Arabidopsis thaliana: one gene and its partner. The protein of the gene in region 1 interacts with the protein of each later gene in a biochemical or structural test. Each region holds a gene or a part of one and is shown on either strand. Other genes may lie near its edges. The genes, in order: PRPL11 and AT5G53920.

Evidence for each region.
Region 2: of the proteins of PRPL11 (region 1) and AT5G53920, one has a biochemical effect on the other in vitro, tested with the Arabidopsis thaliana proteins (one study listed by BioGRID).

The regions. Positions count from the first base shown.
Region 1 is NC_003070.9:11,953,708-11,957,988, forward strand, and holds PRPL11 (plastid ribosomal protein l11), read left to right. Parts: upstream 1-1,948; 5' UTR 1,949-2,119; coding exon 2,120-2,339; intron 2,340-2,430; coding exon 2,431-2,603; intron 2,604-2,815; coding exon 2,816-2,879; intron 2,880-3,220; coding exon 3,221-3,432; 3' UTR 3,433-3,695; downstream 3,696-4,281. Other genes in the region: AT1G32975 (uncharacterized protein), read left to right, coding at 1-192; AT1G32980 (Subtilisin-like serine endopeptidase family protein), read right to left, coding at 571-1,143.
Region 2 is NC_003076.8:21,889,973-21,895,050, reverse strand, and holds AT5G53920 (ribosomal protein L11 methyltransferase-like protein), read right to left. Parts: upstream 3,069-5,078; 5' UTR 2,928-3,068; coding exon 2,688-2,927; intron 2,609-2,687; coding exon 2,504-2,608; intron 2,302-2,503; coding exon 2,161-2,301; intron 2,005-2,160; coding exon 1,939-2,004; intron 1,729-1,938; coding exon 1,561-1,728; intron 1,466-1,560; coding exon 1,184-1,465; intron 1,078-1,183; coding exon 964-1,077; 3' UTR 784-963; downstream 1-783. Other genes in the region: AT5G53930 (transcriptional regulator ATRX-like protein), read left to right, coding at 1-502, 599-664; AT5G53910 (RING/U-box superfamily protein), read right to left, coding at 3,716-4,408.

The DNA of each region.
Region 1 (4,281 bases):
CCTCGGCGTGAAGAGGTGGAAAAACACCAAATTGAGTTATTCAAAGAAGAGATTCTGAGTTACATGAGGAAGTGGATCTCTCCGCATGAATTTCTTCAAAAGGTTCTAGATTTCAACTTGAAATCTCTGTTGGTGGATTTGGCAGCCACATTCAACGTTCGCTACCCGGAGAGACAAAGACTTCTAGTATGATCCTTTACCAAAACGGAATCATGGCGTAAGTTGTTGTTTGCTTCTTACTTCGGCCTTGGTGTCTTATGCAGTTTCAGCCTCGACAATCATTTATATAAACAAAGCAAAGAGATTATTTGTATAGACTAAAAAATTCATTATAGGTTATTATTACTTTTTTCTCTTATGGATTCTCATCTTCTCATTTCCCCCTTTTTATCAATTGCCCTATATTTGGTTTTCTTCTTCCTCAAGAAACTTAATCATAAGCTTTTTAGTAGATTGGGATGAATATTCAGTAGCAATGTTATCTTTATTATTAATCCATCATTAACAAATCCAGTAGATTGGGATGAACAGAGTCAGACCAAGTCAAGCGACCAAAGTAGTAGCCAGTGTTCACTCTATGGCGAACACACGGACTTTGAACGAGAGCTTCCTCGTCTTAGCGTTGAATACTAATGTGCTTGGTGTCACGGTAACGTTAACACCCATTGGAGCCTCAATGACAGCCTTATAAACTGACCCTACTGGTCCAACGTTGGTAACGGTTCTAGTGATAATAACTTCTTTTGCAAGGTTTGGGATTGTGATTGAAGGCAATTTGAGGTCAAGAACTGAAGGTTTAGGGTTTGCACAAACCGTCTTCTTGCGGACAAGTCTAGTAATGGATGAATCTGTGTAACCAACGGAGCACAAATATAGAACATAATCGTTAACTCCCATATCGTAAACAAGACCGGGTTTCGCGGCTTTCTCTGAATTGACAACGCCTCCTCCATAGTCAAATGGATCAGCTAATTTACGGTTTGATCCGTCTGCGAAAATGGGTTCACCGGATGGATCTGTTCTCCAAGCTGTAGTAACAATAGCAGATCTAATGGCGGCCGGAGACCAATGAGGGTGCAAAGACTTAAGGAGTGCTACAATTCCTGCAACAAAAGGAGTCGACATTGATGTTCCTGATTTCATAGGAAATCCTCCGTCATAAAATGTATCATTTGGAGAAGTAGCTGCGAGTATGTTCACTCCAGGTGCTGCAATATCAGGCTGTATCAGAGAACAAAACAAGTCTCAGTTTAATCAACAAACTAGATGAAACTTCAGTCAGAAGTAACTACATGAAGACTACATTTAGGTATACATTTATAAAACCTAAAATTTAACTTACAAAGCAAACATCTTTGTTCAAAGAATCTGGTAAAGTTTGAGACTTATCAAAATCAGAGAATTTAGTAGCTAAGCTTGGAATATACCTTGAGAATTGCGGGAGAGATGGAACTAGGTCCTCGCGATGAGAAAGTCGCGACCTTTGTAGCCACGGGAAGTCCAACCAACGTTCTTGTAGGTTGAATCCTTGCGAGTGGCGATCTACAAAACCAACAATTGGATATACAGAATCAATAACTATTCTTTGTCAACCGTATTATTTTTAACATTTAACCAATATAAACCTTAAAATTTTGGGACAATGATCCTTCCATTTTGACTCATCAATAATCGTGTGAAATCGTATTTACTTAAATAAAAGAGTACATAAAAGTTGTGAAAAAACCGAAGAAGTATAAAAAAACACTGCTAAAAGTTATTTGAGAAATGTATTTTGATACTGCATTTAATTGAAAGGTATTACCTTGTTGACATAGTGACGGCTCCGCTATAGTTCCAGTCGTCACTATGCCACCACCCAAATTCAAATCAGCATGATCTTGACAACAACAAAAAACAAAAATCTCTTCCTTGGTCCATAATTCCATATAATGTACTCGTTTTCATGCAACATTTGATCCTAGACGACTACTACAGACAGTAAATGGGCTTGATCTGGAATCTTACGCCTATTTATTTAGGCCCATTAAGCCCATAAAGTGGGAGAACTAAAAAAGTGGATAGGATTTGTGAACTCGCTCTTTAGCTTTCACTAACCTTCTTCCTTCACAGTGAATCAATGGCGTCTTCTTCTCTATCAACTCTTTGCAGCTCAACTTCTTCTTCTCTACATCCCAACTCCAAACTCTCACATTCTCTTTCAGCTAAATTATCCTCCAAAGCAAATGTTTCCGTCCAATTTCTGGGAAAGAAACAGTCTCCGCTTCTCTCCTCAACTCCGAGATTTCTCACTGTTATCGCCATGGCTCCACCTAAACCCGGAGGCAAAGCTAAAAAAGGTACAATCTTTTCGCTACCCATTTCCTTAAAACCTAGAAATTCTCTTAATTTCATTGCTTGATTGGTGTTGTGGGTTTGGAATTTTTGTAGTTGTGGGAGTTATCAAACTTGCTTTAGAGGCGGGAAAAGCAACTCCGGCACCACCGGTTGGTCCGGCGCTTGGTTCTAAGGGAGTTAACATTATGGCTTTTTGCAAGGATTATAATGCAAGAACTGCTGATAAAGCTGGTTATATCATTCCTGTTGAAATCACTGTCTTCGATGTGAGTTTTGTACTCTCTCTACTACAAATCTTGAGTTTTTGTTTGATTAAGCTAAAGAAGAGTAACATTTGTGGTGGTAATTGGTTATCAAAAATGTGTTTTGCAATGTTTATGTGTATTTGGTATTGATTCATAACTTGTTATAGATTGGTGATGTGTTTCGAGTTTTAGGTTTATGAGATTGTTTATGGAGTTTGTATGTGTGTTTGCAGGATAAGAGCTTCACGTTTATTCTCAAGACCCCGCCTGCTTCGGTTTTGTTGCTTAAAGCTGCAGGTATTCTTTTGTTGAACCTGAATGAGTATTGTGACCAATAGGTTTATCTCTGTAGAATTGATCTTAAGGTACTTGCTTGAATCATATCTTGCTATTTGCAAAGCCTAATAACTTGAGTTTTGTTAGATCACATTATACGTGTTCTCCTTCTCAACCATATAGATTCAAATTTATAGCGTGGTAGAAGAACAAAATCATTCATGCCATGTATTTTGTGATGTTGTTTTCTGGATATATAGATTGAATGACATAATGGTAATAAGTTGTGGCAACTCTTACTTTTATTTTTCTTGTCTGTTCCTGGGAGTTTTGGGATGTTTGACGTTTGTTGGTGGAAATAGGTGTTGAGAAGGGATCAAAAGATCCACAGCAAGATAAAGTTGGGGTGATAACAATAGACCAGCTACGCACAATTGCAGCAGAGAAGCTACCCGACCTGAACTGCACGACCATTGAATCCGCTATGAGAATCATTGCAGGAACTGCAGCTAACATGGGGATAGACATTGACCCTCCGATTCTTGAACCCAAAAAGAAAGCAGTTTTATTGTAAAAGCCTGGTTGGTAGTTTCTATTCCATAATGCCTTATTCGTTTCAAAGTGTAATTTTCCAACATGACGCTTAAGAGAGTTCGATATAATGATGCAACATGTATGTGTTTTTTTTGTTTTTATCAAAAATGAAATTTAACAAGTGCAACTTGAAACGCATGAATGGTTTACAGTCTCAAGAATTGGTAAGGCATGTAATCATTGTGATTGTATACGAAACAGAACACAAATAAGGGATTATTTAATGCCAATGACCATTGTTTACCTCTCGTCTCTATACAAACCAAAGTGTCTTGTGTATTCAATTCTGATGAGCCGCTTATGTATAAGAGGTGAGACTGTTGGCTTTAATCCTACCAATAACTTCAGCTGCATCATGAAGAGTAGACAGAGATTCTGGCGGTTGAGGGTTTCTTCGTAGAGGTTGATCGATTCTTAATGTCCTGTGGATTTTAAGTTCCCAAAACTGTTGCTTAGGACATACAAGATCGTTCAATGTCCAAGAAGAAACCTGAGCCGCTACAATCATCGGTCTAATCTCTTTAGCAGATGAAGTTATTTGTGGTATAAAACCCACAGTTTTATCATGCATTCTCACATATCCATGATCCATCTGTACACAATTGGCAATTCTCAAACAATTATAGCGTTTGTTACAAATAAAATTCTTAATCAAGGTTGGTTCATTGTATCTTAACCATTCTTTAGTTCCTGTCTTCCAGAGTCTTTTTTTTTTTTCTGTAAACTTTAGGTTTCAAAAAAAAAAAAAAAAAAAAGTTTTAATATATATATACAAATGTAATCTCATTCGCTGTCCTTCCTCGTACGCATGTGCTATGGCTTTATCTCA
Region 2 (5,078 bases), on another chromosome or scaffold:
AGATCTTGAGAATTCAGAAAAGATTTTACATGTTATTAATGTTAAGGAATCTGGAACAGCATTGGCTAATTCTGCCTCTCAACAAGATCAGCAGTCTGGTGATACTGCCAAGGTTAAAGTTAGTTCTGGTCTTAGCTCTTGTACAACCAAACGAAAGTTGGTTAGACCGGTATTGAGTAAAGATAGTTTAAATCTAGCTAGCAAGAAAGAAGCTAGTGGTAGCCAAGATGCTGAAGCAGAGAGCATTGATGGCAGTACCGTTGACAAGAATTGTTTAGAAAGTACTCTAGCTTTGGTAACAAAGAATGAAGGTGAACACATAGAACCAACAAAAGTTAGTTCTACGCTCAACGCAGAGTCTTCTTCTCATGCTGACACTGAGGAGGTAGATGAAGTCAAAGGAGGGTCTCAGTCTGAACAGAAAACAATTGATGAAACAAAAGATGAGTCACAGTACGAACAGAAAACGATGACTGTGATGAGGGGTGGAGAAATGGTTCAGGTAAAGTTTCTGCAATTCTTGAAATATTGATTTCCTTGTAGTTTCCAGGTATGTCTATTTGAGTCCTAACATTTTTCTTTTGAAATTTGTGTTCAGGTGAGTTACAAGGTCTACATTCCTAAGAAGGCCTCTTCTTTGGGTAGAAGAAAACTCAACAGGTGAAGCGACGACATGAAGATAGTCTATGTTGACAGATTTTTTGTTTCTGTAGAATTTAAATACAATGGTTATAACCAGAGTTGGTGACAACACAAATTTTATTATCATAGACTTGAAACTTTGAATACAACAATGAAGAGTTCATTAAGTTTCATATCATGTGTAGTTGTAACCTCTTACACAACTCCATTAAGGCTGATATGTTCTTAATGTCTGATGATTAGACACTTTTGTTCTTACCTTTGCTTTACTAGTGCTTTTTATGTTATTGTCTGTTTTCTGATATAACACTGAAGAAATGATTAGTTATCAATAAACTCCTCTTTCTTGGTACCACTCATGCATACCCAATCACCTATTGTGGCTACAGAAATGTCCTCCAAGAAGGGAGAGTACCGTTCTCTTACATTTGGAAGCTGCAAAAAGAGCATTGAATTAGTCAGTTTACAGTATAATTTTCAATTCCTATGACTTGCAGGTAGCTTGCTTGCTTGTTATAACAATACAGTACTCTTTATTTACCTGTTCAGATAAGATACCAGAAATGCCAATGGTTGCCCCAGGTTTCACGAATGAAAGGATATGATCCGCCAGATTCATAACCGGGTTCAAGAGTATGTTTGCAATGACTACATCAAACTGTTCCTTTTGCAATGGTATTTCTCTTCCAGAAGAGCTATTCTCAATAGGTGCAAGGTGCAGCTCCAGTTTCTCCAACGGAATGTTGTTCAGAGCTGCATTATGAATTGCAGAGTTTATTGCTAGAGGATCAATATCAACACCAACGGATGATGCAGCACCAAACTGCAAATTTAAATGAGCGATGCACAAAGATTTAAATAAGATGATTTATGTTGTAATGATTGGTTTTTGAAAGATCAAAGGCGTGAGATTTTTACCTTGAGGGCTGCAATTGCAAGTATTCCTGAACCGGTACCATAGTCGAGGAAAGCTTCTCCGCCTTTTATCAAACTTTGTAGAAGCAATAGACACAGCTTAGTAGTAGGATGTTCTCCAGTCCCAAACGCAAATCCAGGGTTCAGAATTATGTTTACCGCTTCAGCGACCTTGCAAAGGATAGTGAAAGAGTACTTTAAAACCACACATAATAACTTTCTATATCCCTCTATATAAGCTGACACAGAAAGAGGGTGATTCATATTCTGCAAATTCAGTACCCTAAGACCGCTCTTCGTTATGTCAACTAAGGCAAAAGAGTAACAAGAATCCAAATGAGTGCAATGGTTTTGTTAAAGAATATTGATTTATACACATACAGGAGGAGATGTCCACTCAGGTACAATCCAAAGTCTCTCGGCGATTTCAACAGGCTGAAACAAATCCTGCAAAATATGATTCAAAAGATATTAGCTTCAAGTGACATTGCCGCAAAACAAATATAGTATTTGCGCTGAGTTTTGAGCATAACTATGCAAGTTTTCTTAAATGAAAGCAATTACTGAAATGATGATCCTTTCTTTGTTAAACTCAGAACTCACCTGGTTTTTGGTAATCCAGTCAAGTTCATCTCCCATTTCAACTTTGAATTTGGGTATCTCTTTCAAGCCTATGGAATTTGCAGCTTGTGAAATGCACATTTTCACCTCTTCATGCACTGGAAATATTGATTCTATACATATCTGCAGAGAGTAATACCAAAGAGCACAAGCATGATTGATGAGACTACAAGAATATAGACAGATCAACCCTTAAGATGCTTCCTAAGAGCAAAATCGTTCCTTTTATGCATCAATTTGCTCTAACATTGTTCAATCATACAAAAGATTGGTGCTTTCTGGAAATGGAGCTGAACAAAAAACGATCAAAGCATAGATTTTTCACCTCTTTTGAAGCAAGAGAAGTCTCATCTTGGTCGGCTTCTTCGATGGCTTCATCTACAGCTACAGAGCTTGCTCCAAAACACAAAAGTGCCTCCGAGAATGGATCCTAACAAAAACCCAACAAGCAAAGAGTCAAATCGCAGTCTCATATCCTTAAAAGAGATCAATGGGAGAGATACACATACGAGGGCATGTTTTGGACAGTGGATACGAACTGAGAGGTAAGGTGCAGCGAAAGACTCATCAGTGAAGCACGAAGATGAGGAGGAGGAAGAAGAAGAAGTAGAGAGAGACGCAAAGATTGAAAAGGAGGATGGAGGAGTAGAAGAAGTGAAGAAGCAGAGAGGTCTGACTCTGCTGTCTCTGAGGATATGGCGGGAGAGATTCTTGCACGGAAAGTGTTTGATGAAATTCCAAGCTAACATTTTCTTCTTTTTTTTTCACCTAATTATCGAATTTAAACGCTGTCAAGTCACAAATAGAGAAAAATTAAGAGGAAATTTCCAAAAATGTAGATAGAAAGATATTTTCGTCTAAATAGACACACAAAAGCTTAGGGTTTAATTAATTATACAAAGATATACATAATAAAAAAAAGAAACCTTAAATATAAAGTATATATTTAATATTTAATCTGAAAACCATGAAAATCCTGAAAGATAAGTTTTATCAAAATAGGATACGCTTTAAATATATTATTACTATGAATAAAATTAAATACAAATATTGAGTGGTTATCCTAAATCTAGGTTGCGTCATATATATACTTTTGTTTTCTCGTAGAACACTCAAATTTCCAACCTTTACAAATAACATTGTTTTCTTTTGGTTGTAGACGTAACCAACATAACGTTTGTGAACTTATCTATTATTTTCATTGTATAATACAATGTCCGTAGAAAACAAATTGAAAAGCTAAAGTCGATACACGGAAAACATAAGAAAATATACTAAAATCAAGAGATGAAGCTCTCGAAATCATTGGAAAAGTAATAATAGATATAAATATTTTATTTGTCAACATGCGTGCATTATGCATGATTGAATATGGATGGTGACACAACGACAACACTAGCACAAATTAAACCACTAAGTTATCAGTTATGACGAAAGATATAAGTGTCTTACTCATTTCAAAAACCGTATAATATTGATCTCTATACCTAAAATTAAATAAAACCAAATAAAGCGCTTAAGTGTTAATGTATGTTAGTTATAAATCTGTAGTTCTTTGAGGAATATGATCATCTTCACGTGGTAATTCGAAGCGACACAATGGACAATTGTAGCGAACCTTAAACCATTCCATAATACACTTATTGTCAAATTCATGACCACAAAGTAAAGTAGCAACTTCTCGTCCGGTTTTAAACTCCTGAAAACAAATTGCGCATTTGTACTCACCACTAGAATAGGTCTCTCGTTTTCTCATGTATCTTGTGCTCTTGTTAGCAATAGAGCTGGTCTTTTGTTTCCTCTTGTATATTCTCCTGCTCAAGGCTCCGACCCTTAAATTGCTCGCGGGTCTATACTCGCTATTCCTCTCATATTCATTCAAAGGAGCCACATCAAGAGTCAACCACACTGACAAAGCATAACGTGGACAGTATTCAAACGAATTAGAAGTTAAATCACGTGCAAGTTGAGTGAGTTTTAGTATTAACGTGTAAGCATCTTGTGAATCAACTGCTGAATCTGTTAAGAAGTAATAGAGTCTTTGTTTGTGGGGAGAATCTTCGTCGTCAGTTAATTCATTGGCAGGTAATGAACATGAGAAGTTAGACCGGGTTAGTATCGGCGACATGTTGGCTGATCCGACGAAACTTACATAGACTTGGATTGTGCCAATCTTTTTGCGTTCAGGATTGACATCAATATGGTAGTTGAATACAGGAGTAGCTTCCATGATGTGGGTAGACCAAAGAGATTTGTAATGTGTAAATTCAGAGATTCTTATATTTATACTCTATTGAGGCGGTGGAATAGTCCACGTAGGATTATTATTTGGAAAATTTATATTACCTTTTATTTATTTTTCGGTCCAATATTTCCTTTTTATAATTGGTTTCCAATTAAATATTTGATTTACAGTAGTGAATTCTTTCCATGACCAAAACTTACCTTACATTCTTTTTTGTTGTTGACTTTTTTGTTTCCTCATTGGCCTTTTTCTTTCTAAGAAGAATCTTACCAAAATATGATAAATTATGGAATATATACTAAAGTATTAATACTAATTAACATTTTAAAAAATAAAATACTACAATTTTTATAGTATTTTAACAAAGTATGTACATATATTTATGAACATTATATGAGAAGTAAGTTTGTACCACGTTAAAAGAAGGGGCAATGAAACTCTTTTGTTGAAATTTGACGTCAAAACTCGAAGCTATCCTTAATGAAAAGTGTATGAATTTCGGTTTCGATTTTGTAATGAGATAATGATAAAATCATAAGTATTTGATATAGAATATGGAATTTTGCGTTTCCTCTATTTTTAAAATTTAGAGATAAAACTTAAATTATTTGGTGAATATTTTTATTTGAAACTTTTCTAATTTAAAAAGTCAAAA